Linked DNA regions of Arabidopsis thaliana. The protein of the gene in region 1 interacts with the protein of each later gene in a pairwise test. Each region holds a gene or a part of one and is shown on either strand. Other genes may lie near its edges.

What was found.
Region 2: the proteins of AAP6 (region 1) and CHX10 interact in a protein complementation assay, tested with the Arabidopsis thaliana proteins (one large-scale study listed by BioGRID).
Region 3: the proteins of AAP6 (region 1) and AT5G13400 interact in a protein complementation assay, tested with the Arabidopsis thaliana proteins (one large-scale study listed by BioGRID).
Region 4: the proteins of AAP6 (region 1) and AT4G18220 interact in a protein complementation assay, tested with the Arabidopsis thaliana proteins (one large-scale study listed by BioGRID).

What each region holds. Positions count from the first base shown.
Region 1 is NC_003076.8:20,141,881-20,148,249, forward strand, and holds AAP6 (amino acid permease 6), read right to left. Parts: upstream 4,811-6,369; 5' UTR 4,562-4,810; coding exon 4,459-4,561; intron 4,053-4,458; coding exon 3,819-4,052; intron 2,985-3,818; coding exon 2,891-2,984; intron 2,318-2,890; coding exon 2,103-2,317; intron 2,016-2,102; coding exon 1,870-2,015; intron 1,455-1,869; coding exon 801-1,454; 3' UTR 550-800; downstream 1-549. UniProt on the Arabidopsis thaliana protein: Amino acid-proton symporter. Stereospecific transporter with a broad specificity for tryptophan, proline, and neutral and acidic amino acids. Has an affinity for aspartate in a physiological range.
Region 2 is NC_003074.8:16,401,375-16,406,647, reverse strand, and holds CHX10 (cation/H+ exchanger 10), read left to right. Parts: upstream 1-1,823; 5' UTR 1,824-1,975; coding exon 1,976-2,188; intron 2,189-2,369; coding exon 2,370-3,395; intron 3,396-3,477; coding exon 3,478-4,590; 3' UTR 4,591-4,757; downstream 4,758-5,273. UniProt on the Arabidopsis thaliana protein: May operate as a cation/H(+) antiporter.
Region 3 is NC_003076.8:4,296,186-4,301,311, reverse strand, and holds AT5G13400 (Major facilitator superfamily protein), read left to right. Parts: upstream 1-2,047; 5' UTR 2,048-2,232; coding exon 2,233-2,458; intron 2,459-2,545; coding exon 2,546-2,763; intron 2,764-2,940; coding exon 2,941-3,521; intron 3,522-3,608; coding exon 3,609-4,458; 3' UTR 4,459-4,624; downstream 4,625-5,126. Other genes in the region: AT5G13410 (FKBP-like peptidyl-prolyl cis-trans isomerase family protein), read left to right, coding at 1-40, 315-400, 487-537, 714-794, 885-929, 1,050-1,105, 1,232-1,307, 1,387-1,482; NEF1 (no exine formation 1), read right to left, coding at 4,740-5,126.
Region 4 is NC_003075.7:10,076,650-10,080,865, reverse strand, and holds AT4G18220 (Drug/metabolite transporter superfamily protein), read right to left. Parts: upstream 2,229-4,216; 5' UTR 2,139-2,228; coding exon of another isoform or gene 2,099-2,138; coding exon 2,068-2,098; coding exon of another isoform or gene 2,022-2,067; intron 1,899-2,021; coding exon 757-1,898; 3' UTR 504-756; downstream 1-503. Other genes in the region: AT4G18230 (UDP-N-acetylglucosamine transferase subunit ALG14-like protein), read left to right, coding at 169-345; PUP10 (purine permease 10), read right to left, coding at 3,371-4,216.

The DNA.
Region 1 (6,369 bases):
CTTGTCCTAACTATTTGATGAGTCTAAGCATCGTGCCAGATGCTTGCATTCCGACAATTACCCACATTGGATCAAACAAACATCTCAGCAAGTAGGCGAAGCTTAAGGAGAGTTTTTCCAATTCCATGAATCATTTAACCCCTTTTTCTACCATCAAAAACTTAAATTTCAATATATATTTATGAATTTTGACCCAAAAAAAATATACATATTTATGAATAAAGTGTTGTTTTATACCTTGTGAGAGAAGAACCAACCCTTTTAACGTGTAAGCTATTGGCCTTGTACTTCTGCATGTCGCAGCTACACAGTAAAGCAACCAAAAAAAGCTATGAGTATAGTTGCTTAAGACCCAAGTATGTGGAGAGGTGTCATAATAGCGATTTCAAATCATAACTACCAACGTTGCTGGTGTCCATTTACAGAGATCACTTTTCATTTTACTATGGTATATTGTTTCTCTCCGTAGTAGCCTTTGTTGCTGGCACAGCGACTTAAGACGAACTGGGACATTCATATACTAAGATAGGTTATTCCTTAATTTGTGTTGTGTTTTAGCATATTCTGATTTCTTTTTTCCCCTTTGTTTAATGATTTTATTGAGGTAACGCAAGGACCAAGAAAAGGAAATGGGATAAACTGATGATAGATTTGTTTAAGACAAGCAAGTAGAGGTACAATATTTTGGTATGAGATTGTCTCACACCAATAAACTACAAAGAAATAGAAACTTTTATTGGAGGGAAGAGAGTGCATGGAACTTGTGTTCTTGGAGACGTTGGCGAGAACACATATTTTCACTAAGGAGCCTGGAAAGGCTTGAAATCCTTGAGACTTTGTATGAGTCCTTGCACTGATCCGGCTGCAGCAACGAGGGACACAATGAAACAAGTCCAACTCAAGATTTTTAACCAAGTCCAAGTGAAAGAGAATTTCGGTATCTTCTTCTGAGCAATATGCATCTCAATGGGAAAGTAAACAGTCAAAGGCCAGAAGGAAGCTGCTCCAATAAGACCCAAGAAATCGTTGAAGAAAGGGAAGATCATGGCTACAACCGCGGTGACCACAACATATGAAGTCCTCCATACCAATCTGAGGAAGTTGATACTAAAATCACCACAGCAAGGGACATGGATTTTGTATTCTCCTGTAATAAACTTGTTATCAGGCCAACGTTTCGCGCTCTGGCTCTCTACGAACTGAAAAATTGGTTGACAAAAGACTTGGTAGGCGCCGATAAGGTGCACGGCGATGCAGACATTGGCAAAGTCGATTAGCCAGAATGGCTCATAGAAACCAAAACCAGTTAGGAAATTTCCAGGAGCATCATTTCCAAAGGCAGCGTAACCAACACAACCGCATAACATGTAGAAGAAGGTTGTTGTGGAGACACCCACAAGGCTTGCTCTTTTCATGGCTTTGTTCTCCGATGGAGGACCTGCTTTCAAGGTGTCCTGCCATGGTTTAGAGAAATATACAATTGTTAATAGTTTAGTAGAGATAGACAAACAAAACAATAGAAGCTAAACCAAACTTAACAGAAACTCTTTTTTTTTTTTTTTTTTAACATGAGTTATCTGGATTGTGGTGAACTCTTATTAATTCATCCTAATCTTTTAAATTGTTTTCAATATTGAAATGATTTCAAATTGAATAAGTTTCCTAATAGACTGTCTCCTCTCAAAAGTAACTCTATGTCTTTAATGGGTAGGTCCATGCAGTGACGTTTACTTTGCGACCAGACGGCACACAATTCAATTTTTTGGGACTCTCTCTTATTGCTGTCTCCCTAACTCCTACTATCATTAAGTCAACCCTCAACATGTAACATGCTTACAAAATATCAGTAGGACATTAATAGTGACTTGCCTGTATTTCAATGAGAACAGTTGAGTATGCGTAGGCAAATGCAATGTCCCCAATCGCTTGGAACGTTCTCCATATTTTCTCGGCACCCGATACATCAATCCCGACCGTAACTCCTGTCAGTGTTGTTCTTACGTGCTCACCGCCACCTTTATTTGTACGTTCTTCAAAACCATTAGGTCACACTCTTTAAGAAGATGTATAATTGTAAGAATAGGAATGTATATTTTATTTACCCGCCGCTTTGGCGATGGAGAGACCAACACCGATGGAGGCATAACAAAAGGACATTACGGCCGCAAGAATGGAGAGCCAAGAGAGGTTATGGAAATTTGGGATTTGGCTAAGAATAATTTGGATGATTGCAAATATGATCATGAAGGGAGTGTTTGAAGTGGCACATTTAACATTATGCCCATTTTTGTGGAAACAATTCGACCTCTTCACTGCCCTGTTTCAATGAATCCTTACATCGTCAGTCTAATGCTTTTTTTCCTATATTGAAACAATTCATTCATATAATAGTTATAATTTTTTTTTGTGTGTGCAAAAGAATAGTTATAAAATTTAACATTCATATTTTATCAATATAATTTTAACATAATTAACCAAAATAAAAATTTATTTTTCAGAATTCGACAATCATCATAGATCAAACTCGATTATTGATTGTTTTATTTTTTTCTGAAATTGTTTCATTCGACATTCCATTAGATCCAATATAAGTTAGCCCATTAAATCGAATAACTAACACATGCCAAAGAAAAAAAGATTTATGGAATTTTATATAGCATATTGCTGCCTATCATCATAGACATAGCACTTTGTCTTCAAATGTAGTAGTGTAAATTAATAAAATCAGGCATTTGTTGTCCAGCCTTAAGACTTAATAAACATGCTTGATAATAAGTTAAGGAAAAGGAGAGTTTGCTATTATTGACTTTGACTATTTAACAAATGATAATAAAATATTTATCATAAAAGAGAAGTAAATAAAAAAAAAGAAAATAAAAAGAAAACTTACACCATGCTAATTGAAGCTGTGATTGTGTAGCCGATTGTTATTCCAATCAGATTCCCGTATTGAGCCAATCCACATAATTGCACTTTTCTTCCTCCTGTTTATCTTTTAACATCAATATATATCTATAGAATATCGTTGTTATATACATAAATCATCAATTCTACAACTAAACATCTCTAATAAACAAAAACTGTCACATGAAGTCAAGTTGACGCTTTTGTACAAGAGTGTTGAAATGTGACCGACCACAACACGACATTTTCCAAGAGATACTATTCAGATATTGAATTTTAGAAGCTGTCTTTATCAAAATATTTGTTAGTTCTTAGATTTTTCGTGTCTACGATTTCTTAATTTAAAATCTTAAAGTTAAGGGGAGGGTATCTTTTGATAGTTAAAAGGGAAGAGAATAATAAGTGTGGTGAGGACAAAGAGAAAACTCCAAGAGACTATGATGCTGAAAGAATGAATTATAACTTCACATGGGATCACTACAAAAAAAATATCATTTTAAATCACTTATATTGAATATTTGTATTACTTATAATTGATGTAAAGAAATTTTACATCACTTAAATAAACGATTCGTATCTTGTTGATGCAAATAATTTACATCGATTTATTAACAACTGATGCAACTTCACATAATATTTGCATCGCTTGTTATAACTGATGTTTAATTTGAATCGGTTATAAAAACTGACGTGATATTTACATCATGTCAATTTTAAGACCAACTTCACATAATATTTACTACAAAACAGCATGTGTATATATAACACAGGAATATATATTGAAATGTAATCTTTTAGTATTTTTAGAGCGAGTTTAAACTAGAAGTTCATGAAACTTAATACTACTTGTCATAAAGGTTCTTCAGAGTGATTGACCAACAAAAAAGAAGAAGAAGATAGATAGCGAATCTGACCTAGATAGGATCGGACAACTTCCATGTAGGTGTAGTTGCGTTTGCCGGTAACAGGGTCAGGGGAACGGTAACAATCGGCAAGCATGGTTGATGTAAAATATGTTATGAAAGAAAAAGCCATTAGTACGGCGGGTCCTGCCACCCATCCAAGTTGTGCGATTGCCCACGCCAAAGACAACACTCCCGACCCTATCACGGCCGTTATTATGTGTGCACTCCCGGTCATCCATGTCCCTATACAATTCAATTAACCACACAAACTCTATGTTATTTAGGATGCAATTACTGCAAACGCTAATTTTGCGTTTATGTCCGCATTAACACGTAGAAAAAAAAAACAAGTTTACGCCTATAAAAGATAGAATATTCGCAATTACTAAAAAATATTTTCAGTGTACACTTAAACGTCAAACGGAAACAAATTCTCGTCTTTTATTAATGTTTCACGCTTGCGTCTAGAATTGTTTAACGTGCTAAAATAAATCTTCTTTGAAACATAATCATAATTTTGCATGCCAACACATACAATACAATGGACTAGCTGAGACTTATTTACTTGCCCGTTATATATACACATCTATGTGATCATGCTGTCTGAATCATAGCGTATATAAGATTTAGAGAGATAACGATGAGTTACCAGTTCTTTTGTCGCGGCCATCCTCGTCAAAGTTTTTGTTAGTATCGCCAATTTCATGCTCCGGGAAGCTCTGTTCAACGAACATGCTCTTCTTCTTCTCCATCTATCGATTGTTTTTGAGCTTAGCTATGATAAAATAAGAAGAAGAGGCCAAAGGTAGTATGTATGGAGTGTCAAGGACTCTTCTCCACTTAAATAGACACACCACATTTCACACCTAATCCCTTTCTCTCTTTTATTTTATTTTAAATGTCATCTTTTATATTGTAGTGTTCATTTTTCACACCTTTCATTATTGTCTGTCTCTGTAATTAATATATTTATTATTTTACGTTATGATTTTATGAATGAGATTCATTAATGTCGAATAGATTGCTTCGATCGATTATATATATTGGATAGGCTCAGACCCATTTGTTGAAAGTTGACTACTGTTGGTGTTTATTTTGATTATAATTTACTGAGAGTGATAAATTAAATTAACTTTTCTTTGTGGATGGGTGGGAGAATAATTATTGACACACTATCAGTGGCTCTCCTCTGTAGTTTCCTGGATCTTAGGTTACAAGGTCCACCACTTATCATTTTATTCATTTCTTGATTCCACACATACACATAATATGAAATTTTCAATTCCTATTCCTTTCTAATTCATTTTACTACTACGCGTACGGATTCATATATACATAAATACATATTTTAAAAAAAAAAACATATTTGTAAAACATTTTAACCCATGATACAGAAACATATATAAGACAAAAATACATCTTATGAATCTATATATCAACATGAACCAAGTTTTATGATATTTTGTTCACCAAACCGAATCGTATGTAGTACATAAACAAAATGTCTCTGTATTTGAAGAACTTTTTAACTATAACGACAAGAGCGTGTGCCAATAACAGAAGGGACTTTAGTGGGCGATTAATCTCGTTCATAGATTTTGGCTTTTGATTTTTCAACCAAACTTCGAGCCAATTACGGTTTTTCGTTTTATATTCCTGTTGAATAAGGTTGACGATAGTTGAATTTTCAACGATTCTATTACTATCAAATATTTTTTTCTTTCCACTATGTTAGACCATGTTCTTGATGTTTTATCACGCGGTCTTGACATCAAATTCTGATAAGAGAGTCGACCAATTACAAAGCCCGTTTTTGGTATATTTCATAGCAAATATAAAAGTTGTTTATTTATACCAAAGTTAAAAGAGAATAAGCTAATTAAGTTTTCAAAGTCTTGTTACACAAGATAACATTATTTCTTTGATTTCAATTCATATTTGTTTTCATCGGTTTAGCCAGTCACTACAAAAAAGTGATCATTTTATATCATTTATTTTAAATATTTGTATTACTTATAATTGATGTAAAAGAAAATTACATCATTTAAATAAATGATTTATATACTGTTGATGTAAATAATTTACATCATTTAAAATAAATATTTGCATCGATTATTATAACCGATGTTATTATGTATCATTTGCAAATAGATGATGTTAATTTTGCATCGATTAATAAAAATGATGTTAGTATTTGTTTCGATTATTGTAAGTGATGTTAAATATTTGTATTGATTGTAAATTACTGATGTAAAGATTAATGTCAGTTTTAATAAATGATTCAAATAATTGTATCATTTAAAATAATGGATGTTAATTTTTTTTTGTCAAATACTGAATAACCGATTGAATTAATTTTAGTTTTCATAAATATTTTTTAATAATTGTTTTATTTTCAATAATCACTAATTATAAATAAAATAATACAAAAAATCTTAAATTCATTGAAGAAATTAAACCACGTACATAGTTCAAAAGTAAAATACTACAAATTAAACTTCAAAACTATAAACTACTTTTGTTCTTTGATTCTCTTGTAATCACACAGAGACATACCACA
Region 2 (5,273 bases), on another chromosome or scaffold:
GAATAACGGTTGACTAACACCTTTATCGAGAAGGGCGATTTATGCATCAAAATATAAGTTGAGGGAGGTTTCTTAAACAAATTAAGGCGTTTGGAGAAGAAATTACCATGATCATTTCTGAGAGTTCTTTCTCGAATTTAAATTTTTTTTAATATAAAATATATTTGCGTTTAGTTTTGAAATAATAAGTATAAAAATATTCACCAAAAACAAAATAAGTATAAAAATTGTAGAATTAAAAGTGTATAGCAAGAATTAGTAAAAGTGGATAAATACAGATTAATGGTTAAGAAAAAATGTGAACTTGGCACATAAAAATTAAAATTTCTCTTTTTCAAGATCTAGATTGAAAGAAATTTTGAAAGATAACTTCGATAAAACGACCATAGATCCACAAACCCTTATATAATTCCGCATTTTTGTCTCCAGATATTATCTTCGATTGGAAATTCTCTGTTGCGTCTAGATCTTGTCCTCAATTTCATCATCTTGCTCTATTATCATGAATCTCACATCTTGTCCACCAATTAATCTGTATTTATTCAGTGGTAGATTTTGAAAGATTCTCATTTGAAATCAGCCTTTGAGCAAATCAAACGATTATATATTATTATTTTTGGTGTATTTTATTGTTAAAACATTTTCCAAAAATTTTACCATTTCTCACCATTAAAACAATAAAAAATACAACATTTTTTTGTATGTTTAATATTTGTAATATAATTTAACTTGAATACTGATTTTAATTATTTCATATTTCAGATGTTTTTAGTAATTGAGGTAATGAAAGGTAATAAGCACCAGAAATTTCAGATAAACTTTTGACCACCAGCCATATTAAACATTTTAATTATGGTTTGAATCTTTCCTCACTTTTTTGCGTATGTACGTCTAAACTAGATTTTAACCCGCGGTATACCACGGGAACAATTTATTTTTTAAAGTTAGTATATATATAAAAGTTTACAAATTATATCTATCTATAAAATAATTTTATTTTATAGTTTACAAATATTATTAAGTAACGTCCTGCCAAACCCGTCCTGTAAAAAAAACCATTTATTTTATTAATGTTGATCTTATTTATGATATGTTTATGAATCATTGTCTAAATATTTTGTAATTTTGTAGTAATTAAATGCTATCAGATTATATCTCTGCGCTTTGATGATTATAATCGAATTGTTATAGTTATGGAGAAAAGCAATATCAAAAATGATAATTTTGTAGTAATTAAATGATATTAAATATTTTAGAAGTATTATTTTAGTAAATAATCATGTAGTTAATATGAAGAGATTTTGGGAAGATTGTTAAATGTCAAATATTTAATTCGAAGATTTTCTTTTTAATTATCAAAAACAAACATTAAAATCCAGTGGCAACCATTGTAAATAAATCCGAACTACAGGATTTATTTCACAAAATGGTTGCAAAAATGTATATATAGATCTATCGGATTAATTGTATATCGGATTTTAGGGTGGTCACTAATTTTATAAGTATTATTAGATCGGAAAAAATATTATCAAGGGAAGGAAAGAAAAAAAATTGTAAACTTAGATTGAAGCAGTTGGAAAATATTTCTAGACTATAAACTTGGGTCCCCAAACAGAAACTTTGAGCTAATTTTGGCTCAAACCTCCAAGCTTGCAATTTTATTTAGCAAAGCAAATTCTTCATGTTCTAGATTTTACGTTTTTGAACAAACAAAATGGAAAAAAAAAACAGTTACTCTCTGGATATATATATTTTTTTTTTCTAAATTGGAAAGTTACATTTGTTCCAGAGAGATTATGACAGCTATTTACCAAAGACCAGACAAAAACAACACAAAAAACTAACAAGACTCTTTTCAAAACCCAAATTCAAAGAATGAACACTTTTTTTTCTTCTTTTCCAGAGACTTAAACTTTATAACACAAAAAAAAAGCATTTTCATCCCCAAGTTTTGCTAAGTTATTGGCTTATATTCATGAACACGACTACTTACATTGGGGATTGTCGAATATCATTCTTCAACATATCTTCCCAGGGATTTTGGGATAACCTAAAATCGCCTGATGTGGTTTTCGGCTACTCGCTGCCTCTCCTAGAGATTCAGATAATACTGATATTCTTCTGCATTGTCATGTCTCATATGTTCCTCAGATGCATCGGCATTTCCCAAATCGCTTCATATATGATTGTAAGCAAGTTTTCCATATCTAACTTGGCAAGCACACAAGATATTTCCAATTATTAGAACTACAAAAGTAGATGTAACTTGACAAGCACGTAAATTGTTTAAGGGACAAAGAAGATCATGCATGCGTGCTATTGAAGATATTTTTCAGAAACTGAAATCATATATATAAATTTATGTGCAGGCTGGAATAGTTCTAGGGCCTCAGCTTTTTGATGTACTAGAGAAATCTTCAGGGAAACTATCCGTGGATCCTGCGTTGGATGGAATCGCAGCGTTAAGATGCATCTCGGTGTTTGGAACACTAATGTTTACGTTTCTAATGACTGTTAGAACCAGCAGGCGAGTGGCGTTCCATAGCGGAAAATTGCCCGTTGTGATCGGGATCGTGTCCTTCTTTGCTCCTCTGTTTGGTCTCGGTTTCCAGAATTTTTTTTCTGACAACATCGACCCTCACTACATGCCTCTAACTAAAGCCCTAGGTGAGCGCACTGCGATTGTCATAACTCAATCTTCGATACTTTTGCCTTCCACTACATATATCTTGCTAGAGCTCAAGATCATCAACTCCGAGCTAGGTCGCCTTGCATTGTCTGCATGTGTCATCAACGACATCTTGGGGATTTTTTCCATGATAGTTGCCTCTATACAAGCGACCTACATTCATGTTTCACATGCAACAGCCTATCGTGACACTGTCGCGGTGATCATCTTTTTTCTCGTCGTCTTTCTTGTTTTTAAGCCTATGGTGCAATGGGTCATAGACCGCACACCGGAAGACAAGCCAGTGGAGGATATGTACATTCATGCCGTGATTATTACCGCATTGGCTTCCGCTGCTTATTTTGTGTTTTTCAACATGAAATATATTTTAGGACCATTAATGATTGGCATCATCATACCAGAGGGTCCACCATTAGGATCGGCTCTAGAGGCTAAGTTTGAGAGGCTCACAATGAACGTGTTCTTACCAATCTCAATCACATTCAGCGCGATGAGATGTGATGGAGCAAGGATCCTTAGCCAGTTCAATGACATCTTCTTCAACATCTTCCTAACATTTCTTATACTTGTCATAAAACTGGTCGCATGCCTTGCACCTTGCTTGTACTACAAGTTACCTCTCAGTGAATCCTTGGCTGTTTCCTTCATCTTGAGCTACAAAAGTTTTGCTGATTTTGTTCTCTATGAAGCTGTATTAGACGACACGGTAACCTCCTAACTCGCAAATAGTCGATTATTGGTATCATTTGCCATTAATCTAAACATTTTTTTATGGTTTGGTTTTGCAGTACATATCGCAAGCCACTTACTCGTTCTTAATCTTATATTCGCTACTAAATGCCGGGATTGTCCCTACTGTCTTAAGGAGGATGTACGATCCAAGAAGAAAGTACGTTAATTACCAGAAAAGGGACATATTGCATCTAGAACGAAACTCAGATCTTCGAATTCTAACTTGTTTGCACAAACCAGAAAACGTCTCAGAGACCATAGCATTCCTACAATTGTTGTCCTCACCGAACCTAGACTTCCCTATCGCGGTTACAGTTCTCCACCTTGTGAAGCTCGTTGGTCAGATAAACCCTATCATAGTCTCACACGACAAGAAATTGAAACGGCTTAACAAAGACTCATACATCCATACCGCAAACCTTGCCTTTAGACAATTCGTGTTAGAAAGCTTAGAGTCTGTAACCGTGACAACGTTCACTGCGTTCTCGCATGAAAACTTGATGCACGAAGACATTTGTACACTTGCACTTGACAAAACAACATCGATGATTGTCGTCCCATCGGGGAGGAAATGGACTGTAGATGGGTTATTCGAGTCTGACAACACTGCTATAAGACATCTAAACCAGTCGTTACTCGATCGTGCGCCTTGTTCTATCGGCATACTAGTAGACCGTGGACAATTCTCGCGAAAAAGTATTGTAACGAGCAAAAAAAGGTACATCATTGATGTTGGTGTGCTCTTCATTGGAGGCAAAGACGATAGGGAAGCACTATCATTGGTGAAGAGGATGAAAAATAACCCGAGGATCCGTGTAACCGTGATCCGACTCGTCTTCGACCATGAAATAGAGTCAGATTGGGATTATATTCTTGATAACGAAGGCTTAAAGGATTTGAAGAGTACTGAAGACAACAAAGATATTGATTATATAGAGAGGATTGTGACTAGTAGTGTTGAGGTAGTCAAAGCTGTCCAATTGCTTGCAGAAGAGTACGATCTAATGGTGGTCGGGAGAGATCATGATATGACATCACAAGACTTATCAGGACTAATGGAATGGGTCGAACTACCAGAGTTAGGTGTCATCGGGGATTTGCTGGCGGCTAGAGATCTAAGCTCTAAGGTTTCGGTTTTAGTAGTTCAACAACAACAACAACGAACGTGACATGTTTTGACCGCAAGACTGTGTGTATTCATTTAGGGCAAACTTTTAGAAAATTTTAAGATGTATAAATAGTCATTCATTTGTTTAAATATAATATGCGTATATATTCATACAAATTTTTTTACATTATATACAAATTAAACATACTTAGAATCCATAAGAAGGAATAACCATAAACTTTGATTCAGATTGTTATACTTCCTCCAGCTCAACTCTGTGTTTCTCAATCCGTCCTTTCACTCTTTCACTCTTTCACTAGCTTCTGGTATTCTTAGAACATTAGGTTGCCCAAAGCTGACACTGGTCTGTAAAGTCGAAGCGACTCCATGTTTATCTTCAAGAAAGAAACATGTTTCTTCAACTGCAAGAAACATTGTCTAAGAAGAAACCCTTTGAAAATATTAAAAACATTACCAGTTCTAGTTGGGAGAAAGTTTCTGAATTTGGGGTTTTATATTATATCTTTTGTTAGTCTTTGGAAATCTATCTGTTCATTTCCAATTTAATCTTCGGTTGCTTTGTTTCTTCCTTACTCTTCTCTTTTCTCCACTCCTCTAATATCACAGTGGTCTTGATATGATCAACAAAATTAAATTACAACCAAATGTAGCTTAATGTATATCTGCTTTCTCTAAGGGTTAATAATATCTCAAATCGAGTTTAAGGAAGAAGTATTAAAGACA
Region 3 (5,126 bases), about 16 Mb from region 1:
AAAGATGGAGACTTTGCATCAGCTTCTCAATTTGCTGACAGTAAGAATTTTCAATTTCTTTTTGGAGGGCAGAGAATCTTTCTCAGGGTTACATTTCGATTAAGTTGTTGCTTTGTGCCTTATTAAGTAAAGTTATTGGCATTTGTAATTTGGAACATTGTTTGATTGTCCACTGTTAAGAGTTTGGTTGTGAGAGAAAGATGTGTTCTTTAGGTGAAGTTAATTTATCCGTGCGTGATTGTTGAAATCATCGATATAGCCTCTTTTTTTTCTAAAGCCACATTCTTTTCTTGGTATATTACTTGCATTCACAGTGCCAGCGCTTAAAGGGAAGGATTATGGCAAAACAAAAATGAAGTATCCAGATTATACAGAAACACAGTCTGGTCTTCAGTATAAGGTCACCCCTCATTAGTCCCATATCTTATATCTAATATAGTTTAGACTATGCGGTGATCATTAACTTGAAGATTTGAGATGCTGCAGGATTTGCGAGTAGGAACTGGGCCTATAGCAAAAAAGGGAGACAAAGTTGTGGTAAGGAAATTTCTGCATATCTATGGTTTTGTATCCTTGGTCTCAAGTTTATCTAGAAGTTTGCTCTGGTTAGAGAGTTTGGAGTTTGCTTTGCTTGTATCTATGTTAGCAAATTAATGTTTCAAAGACCATAGGTTTTGCTAGTAGTTATAAATAATTGAAGCTGGGTATGTTAGGTTGACTGGGACGGTTACACAATAGGGTACTATGGACGCATATTTGAAGCTCGCAATAAAACAAAAGGGGGTTCTTTTGAGGTATAAACACGTTTTGGCTCTTTTTTTTTTTGTTTCATTAGCTACAATGATACAGTCCTTAATCTTTGTTTTCTTTTTGTGAATCTGTAGGGCGATGATAAGGAATTTTTCAAATTTACCTTAGGATCCAATGAGGTGGGCGAAATTCCAAGTCCTTCTAGTTGCTATATGGGTTTTACCGGTTTAAAGAATGGATTTTGTTACTGATTGTATGAATTGTTTCTTTCTGGATGCTGCATGATTTTGGTGTTCCAGGTGATACCTGCTTTTGAGGAGGCTGTCTCTGGGATGGCTCTCGGTGGTATCAGAAGGTTCAACATCTTTCTAATATTTCTAACTCTACACATCCTCCATATGTTTTTCATATAGAACTCACTCTTCACACAAATGGTAGACGGTAGAATGAATCAGTGTAAATAATTAGCTTGGTATTGCAGGATAATTGTACCGCCAGAACTAGGATACCCGGATAATGACTACAACAAGAGTGGGCCGAGGCCGATGACTTTCTCTGTGAGCCTTATGTTTGTTTTATGTAAACATGTATAAGAAAGACATAAGTTTTAAATGTTGTCTCTTTATGTTTGCGCAGGGACAACGTGCATTAGATTTTGTGCTGAGGAACCAAGGGCTCATAGACAAGACACTTCTCTTTGATGTTGAACTCCTCAAAATTGTACCCAATTGATGTAACATCGACAGTCTTAACTCACGTACATATATATTTATTTATGATGTGTATACTACATTGGCACATTTGTGTAAATTGAGCTCAGTTTATATCATATAATGTTAGCTCTTTTTAGGAGTGTTAAAAAAAAAAATAGCCATGCATCACCAACTAACTGTTCATCATGTTAATTCTGCTTCCTCTTTTTAGTTATATTATCCCTTATAGTGAGGTAAGTTATTATAACATTTCATAGAAAGTTTAGAATAAAATGAAATGTGAACACAAAAACCAGTGTAAGCAGCTTCTGTTGTTTTGACTTTATTGAGTAGCCAATGTTGGTTCAATGTCAGAGTCATCATTAATGGAGACTGCAAAAATAAAAGAACAAGTTGCAGTGACGCATTGTAGAAGTCCTTCAATGAGTTTATGTCTTTCAAGGACAAAACATATCAAATGAATCCACATTTCTCTAAATAAGTCCTTTCTTGAACGTTGAAACTGTGGACATCATGGGAGTCCACGTGCAATAAATGCCAGTCCTATATCTACCACTTACCAGCTAAGCTCCGTCTATTTAATTCCATCTTCCCATTTTAAGCTACTGCATTTATACATTTCTCTAACCAATCCTCATACATCCTTTTCTGCTTACAGATTTTGTTTGGCTGGATTAATTATTTCATTTATTAACTTAAGCTCTCTTGCTGTTTTTGGTCACTCTGATGCTTTCAGTTTCCATGGTTTTATGAGAAAATATCATTGATTATGGTTGCTTCTGAGATTAAATCCCCGGTGAGTGTCCCCGAGACTCCGGGAAGCTCCTCTGTGCATCATAGGAAGCAGTTGAGTGTGTTCTTCATAGAATCAGATAACAGACGTCTTGCTCTTGGCCGTGGCTATACCGGAGGAACCACTCCCGTTAACATCCATGGCAAACCCATCGCCAATCTTTCCAAAACCGGTGGTTGGATCGCAGCTTTCTTCATTTTTGGTAACTTTCTTTTCACTTACATCTAGATTATCAGTAGTTCTACGTGCAGTGCAGCTTAGTTTTGGTGGAATGGTTGCAATGTTTTAGGAAATGAAATGGCAGAGAGAATGGCGTATTTCGGACTCTCGGTGAACATGGTGGCGTTCATGTTCTACGTAATGCATAGGCCTTTTGAAAGTTCATCAAACGCAGTCAACAACTTCCTTGGCATCTCTCAAGCCTCCTCTGTTCTTGGAGGCTTCTTAGCCGACGCTTACTTGGGTCGATACTGGACTATTGCCATCTTCACTACCATGTATCTTGTCGTAAGTAGTACTGTTTTGTTCTCTGTATTTTGTTTATTTATTTATTTATGACTTATGGTTAAGGTCTTGTGCAAATGGTGCAATTTGAAGAACATCGTCTAATACGCAAGACCGAACATATGTTATGTGATGGATACTTTGAAATCTTTTCTTTTCTTTTGTTTTGCATGTGAAAAGGGTTTGATAGGAATAACATTGGGGGCAAGTTTGAAGATGTTCGTACCAGACCAGAGCAACTGTGGCCAGTTATCATTGCTCTTAGGAAATTGTGAAGAAGCCAAATCTTGGCAAATGCTTTATCTCTACACGGTTCTCTACATAACCGGATTCGGAGCTGCTGGTATAAGGCCATGTGTTTCCTCATTTGGTGCTGACCAGTTTGATGAGAAGAGCAAAGACTACAAGACACATTTAGACCGTTTCTTCAACTTCTTCTATCTATCGGTCACTTTAGGCGCAATCATTGCCTTCACTTTGGTGGTATATGTTCAAATGGAACTTGGTTGGGGTATGGCTTTTGGCACATTGGCCGTAGCCATGGGGATTTCTAATGCTTTGTTCTTTGCTGGTACACCGCTTTATCGGCATAGGTTGCCTGGTGGTAGTCCCTTGACTAGGGTAGCTCAGGTCTTAGTTGCCGCTTTCCGCAAACGAAATGCAGCTTTCACAAGCAGTGAGTTCATCGGTCTTTACGAAGTTCCTGGCTTGAAATCTGCTATTAATGGCAGTCGTAAAATCCCTCATTCCAATGATTTCATGTAAGGCTTCTTCTTTTGTGTACATCTTCCTATAAGGAAAATAAAACTTAATACTAGTATTTATCAGTCGAATGAATTCATATGCAGATGGCTAGACAAGGCGGCACTTGAGTTGAAAGAAGATGGATTGGAACCATCTCCATGGAAGCTATGCACAGTAACACAAGTAGAGGAAGTGAAGATTCTGATCAGATTGATTCCAATCCCAACATGCACTATAATGCTGAGTCTGGTCTTGACTGAGTATCTTACACTCTCAGTGCAACAAGCTTACACACTCAACACACACATTCAACACCTCAAGCTTCCAGTGACCTGCATGCCAGTTTTCCCAGGCCTAAGCATTTTCCTCATTCTCTCCCTTTATTACTCTGTCTTCGTCCCTATCACCAGAAGAATCACTGGCAATCCTCATGGTGCTTCCCAGCTTCAAAGAGTGGGCATAGGGCTAGCAGTTTCAATCATATCAGTAGCTTGGGCTGGGCTATTCGAGAACTACAGGAGACATTACGCGATACAAAATGGTTTTGAGTTCAACTTCTTGACCCAAATGCCTGATCTAACCGCGTACTGGTTGTTAATCCAGTACTGTCTCATCGGAATCGCAGAGGTTTTCTGCATAGTAGGGCTATTGGAGTTCCTTTACGAGGAAGCTCCGGATGCTATGAAGAGTATTGGTTCGGCTTACGCTGCTCTAGCCGGCGGGTTAGGGTGTTTTGCTGCCACCATTTTGAACAATATTGTCAAGGCTGCGACTCGGGACTCAGATGGGAAATCGTGGTTATCGCAGAACATAAACACGGGGAGATTCGACTGCTTGTACTGGTTGCTCACACTTCTGAGCTTTTTGAATTTCTGTGTGTTCCTTTGGTCAGCGCATAGGTACAAGTACCGAGCTATCGAGTCTGAGGAAGACAAGAGTAGTGCTGTTCTTTAAAGACACCACTTCTGTGTTCTCTTCTCGTTATTCTTTTTGATAAAACAGCAGTAATTGTATCATCCTACTTTGCTTTCCTATAGCTAATGTTTAAGGGTGGAAAATCCGCTAAACGTGATTGTTCGTTTGTAAGAAGACCAATAAAATTAAGTTGTTCAAACGTCGTATATTGGCAATTTCCAATGCATCCACTGAGAAACAAAGCTGGGAAATGAAAACACTGTTTCACAAATTCTGTTACAAAAAGGGTCGAAAACATTACTAATCAATCCTACGACTGTCTAAATATACCTCAGCCCTTTCATATATTGTTGCCTAGATATCACATACTGAGCCGCAGAGTAAACAATGCCTAAAACTCCCAGAACCCTAACTTGAAACACGTCTGTTATTATTACGGCTGCAAAGCTAAGTGGCACGGTCAGCATCGGCGACGCGTCTGTGTGTTTGGTGGTGTAACTCCAAACGTACCTGTTGAATATGATGTGACCTGGTGCTGTGAGTATTAGGAGAGCCAGGTTCTTCACCGCAAAAAACCATTCACGGCCTCCAATTTCGACTCCCCAACCTGTGTTTCCACCAAACCAAACTTCTTCCCATACAGTGTAGAGCGAGGATAATGCCAAATATGTTGATATGGCTACTGTAACCGGGAAGTATCTCTGTTT
Region 4 (4,216 bases), on another chromosome or scaffold:
CTTCGGAAATATTTTATCAAGATTCTTTGCAGTTCTTTCCTCTACATTTTGGATGACCTTGAATGGACTTGTGACCAAAAACAGAGGATGTGTTTTGTTTATTCTTAGTCATGGTTTCTCCATTACATCTAGAATTCCCATAAGTGCTTGTTTCATCTTGGGTTACAGGTGCTGGGAATTAGATGGTCATCAATCTTTTATGTTGAGAGTGTAGCAAGAGTGAAAAAGCTCTCATTAAGTGGATTGTTGCTTTACAAGTTGAGAATAGCTGATCAATTCTTTGTTCAATGGCCACAACTGCATAAGAAGTATCCTCGGGCTCACTATGTTGGGTGCCTGATGTAAGCTGATTGGAACTCTACTTACACCTAGATATATTACAAAAACTTAGAAAGCTACATAGTGTACACCTTCTCTTTATATGCAGGATTGAGTTTTAAACAATGAATTTTTGTAATCAGCTGTTTTGACTTTGTTAATGACTTAATGCTATTTCAGTGAGCTTATAATGTGATTTTGGTCATCTTATTCCAAACTAAACCAGAATCGTGCACAACATATATTTAAATAAAATATACTTCATGTTACAATGATGCACACATTTTCAGGCTGTGACTTCACTTGAGTCGCATCACAAATCTATTATGTTTATTTTTCATTGTAGGCTGCCTTCATACCAATAAAGAAAAGTAAGTTTACTTGATCAGCTCGCTTTAGTCTGTAAACTGTGTGTGCCACAATCTTTGAAGTAACAGCTTATTTTGATTGCTCACTTGACCCTTCTGCTTCTGGTCGGTCAGGGGATTCTGTTGTTGGTATTTCATTACTTTTCTTCAAGTTTGTTTCATCAAGATATTGTTGGTAGACATAGGATACGAAACCCCAAATAGCTAGAATCATAGAAATCACCTTTAAGCCGTTCATTTTGTCATGGAAAATGATGACAGCCAGGATAGGAACCACGGGGAGTCCCAAAGCGCTTATTGCATTTGAGAATAGGGAGGAAAGCTCGAAGATCAGTCCTGTGCAACCGATGGAGAATACCTGCCAGGTAACAGCTGTCCACACTAGGTTCATGACATAGGATACCTTCCCAAGTTTGTAGTTTTCCATTTCACTGCTCAAAGTTTTCCACTCGCTACTAGCAAAAAGCCCCACCACGCTAACACAACTGGCCACTAGACTCATGTAGATTATCATATTTATAACTTCTGAGAAAGTTTGCTTCTTTAAAACTTTACGAAAGGCTAGCTGTTGTAGGGATAAGAGTAGACCAAACCCAGCAGATGCACCAACGGTGCATACGAAACCTTTGACATACTCTCCTTTTGTAACTTTTTTGGAATCTGATTCCTCGTTATTAAATGCAAGGAGGGTGGAAGATATAGTGAGGAGGAAAAGAGAATTCAAAATGATAGGAGTAAGTTTTTGTGAGTTGAGTAAATAAGAGAAGAAAGCGGTGAAGGCTAACTGTGATGCACAGATCAGGGAAAGGGTAGAAACAGGTAGGTAAAGCAGTCCAATGGAATATAGGTAGCAAGCTGCTCCTACAAGAAGTCCAAGCACTATGTAAACTAATGCACGGTTCCTAAGTGAGGTTAATTTGCCATCTCTCTGAGTTGTTGTATGTGTTTTGACTGACAAGAGATGATATGGAAGTAGAATAGGAAAGCCTACAAGCTGAACTACCGTTGCTAGCCATTTGCTGTTTCCTCCATTTTCATAGTATAGTCTGCCCAGAATTGTAGCAACTGATTGGCCTGAAATGACAAAGAATGTATAGATAGCAACCCGGAGCCACCGTTTGTATGTATTAGAGTGAGATAGTTTTGTTTGGCTGCCACTGACCGAACTTCTTTCGTCTTGATCTGTTGGAATTGGTTCTTTTCCCTGCTGAACTGGTGAGTGATGGAAAATAACGCAAGAAATTAGATTATGACTTATTTGTTGTCACACATGAAAAATATTGATATATTGAATAATAAGATACCATAACCATATTTTTCGTCTTTTATTTGAAGATAAAAGACCAGTAGGTTCTCGAGGAACTGGTTTATGCTTACTCACCAATGACTTGTACTTCTTGATCCCCCTTCATAGTAGATGTGGAATCCCCCTCCTTCGAGATGGACAAGGAGGTACTAACAATGTTCTGAATAGATTCTAAGTATTAGGTATCTTATTATCAAATTGCTTGGTTACTAGTGCTACCAAGTGATTGCTTCTGTGATATGGGTGAGACACGCTGTAGCTATATATTTAGAGATTAGGAATCGGTCATCGTCTATGTTTTGATTGTACTTGTCCCCACATTCAGTAAATGCCAACTGTATATCTTCTCTTGCTGTGAATTTAATTTCTTTTGTCACTATTGTTGATCTAGAGATGAGTCGAGTCAAATCAAGAAGGAAATGATGTGTAGCCATTAGTCACTCAGTATTTTATACCTGTGTGACACATCAGCCATATGCATAGACACAAACTTAACACGCATGCACACAAGTTGTAAGATTGTATGACCGTCAGGATGTCTATTTTGAAAGTTATTCGTCTTCTTTAATTTCTTTGGCTTGTTCCGTCTGACTATCTTTCTCTTATGAGATCAGGCATGTGGATTAGAAACACATTTATGGAGATGATGTCTCGCTTCTCTTTTCAAAAGAAGACATTTGCACCACAATATTGGATGGCAGAGGAAGTCACTTTATTAACTGCTAAGATGGAGACTGCCAAATGGTATTATTTCTGGTCATTTACTTTTTGTACAAAGCTCTGTTTCACCAAGGATGTTTGGACCTGTCTGATTAATATTTCTTCTTTCTTCATTAGAAATGATTTTCTGTGTGTCCTTGTTTCACAATGTTTCAGGTAAAACTAGAAAGTGGAATAGTGCATTGAAATCTTTTTAAGTTATGGCTAAGGGTTAATTTTTATCAGGTGTCACACTCACAAAATTGACATGGTTTTTTATTAAATAAATATCTACTTTTATCAATCTGCCTACAGGTTCTTGTTACATACAGGGTTGAGTTACATTTAATCTTTAGCTGCTATGAACCCAAGTTTAAACGATGAACTTTTGTAATCAGCTGTTCTAAACTTAAGATTGTTGGTTCACTGAGATTACAATGTAATTTGGGTAATCGTAATTGAAACTAAACCAAAGTCATTCACTACTTATTTAAATGAAATCTACTTCCTGTTACAATGATGCAAAAAATTTCAAGCTGAGACTTTACATTAGTTGCATCAAAAATGTATTGTGTATTCTTCAATGTAGGATGCCTCCAGGCCGATAAGTAAAGTAAGTTTACTTAACTAGATTGATTGAGTCTGTAAACTGCGGGACAGCATCTTTCAAAATATCAGCTTATTTTGATTGCCAAGTTGACTCTTCTGCTTCTGGTGGGTCAGGGGATTCTGTTGTTGTGATTTCATGATTTTTCTTCAAGTTTTTGTCATCAAGATATTGTTGGTAGACATAGGAAGTGAAACCCCAAATAGCTAGGATCATAGAAATCACCTTTAACCCATTCATTTTGTCATGGAAAATGATTACAGCCAAGATAGGAACCACTGGGAGTCCCAAAACGCTTATTGCATTTGAGAATAGAGAGGAGAGCTCGAAGATCAGTCCTGTGCCACCGATGGAGAATACCTGCCAGGTAACAGCTGTCCACACTAGGTTCATAATGTAGGATACCTTCCCATGTTTGTAGTTATCCATTTCACTGCTCAAAGTTTTCCACTCACTGCTAGCAAAAAGCCCCACCACGCTAACACAACTGGCCACTAGACTCACGTAGATTATCATATCCATAACTTCTGAGAAATTTTGCTTCTTTAGGACTTTTAGAAAGGCTAGCTGTTGTAGGGATAAGACTAGACCATAACCAGCAGACGCAGCAACGGTGCATATGAAACCTTTGACATACTCTCCTTTTGTAACTTTTGTGGAGTCTGTCTCCTCATTATTGAATGCAAGTAGGGTGGAAGATATAGTTAGGAGGAAAAGAGAATTTAAAATGATAGGGGTAAGTTTTTGTGAGTTAAGAAAATAAGAGAAGAAAGCATTGAAGGCTAACTGAGATGCACAGATCAGGGAATAGGTAGAAACGGGTAAGTAAAGAAGTCCAATGGAGTACAGATAGCAATCTGCTCCTACAAGAAGTCCAAGCACTACGTAAACCAATACACGGTTCCTAGGTGAGGTTCT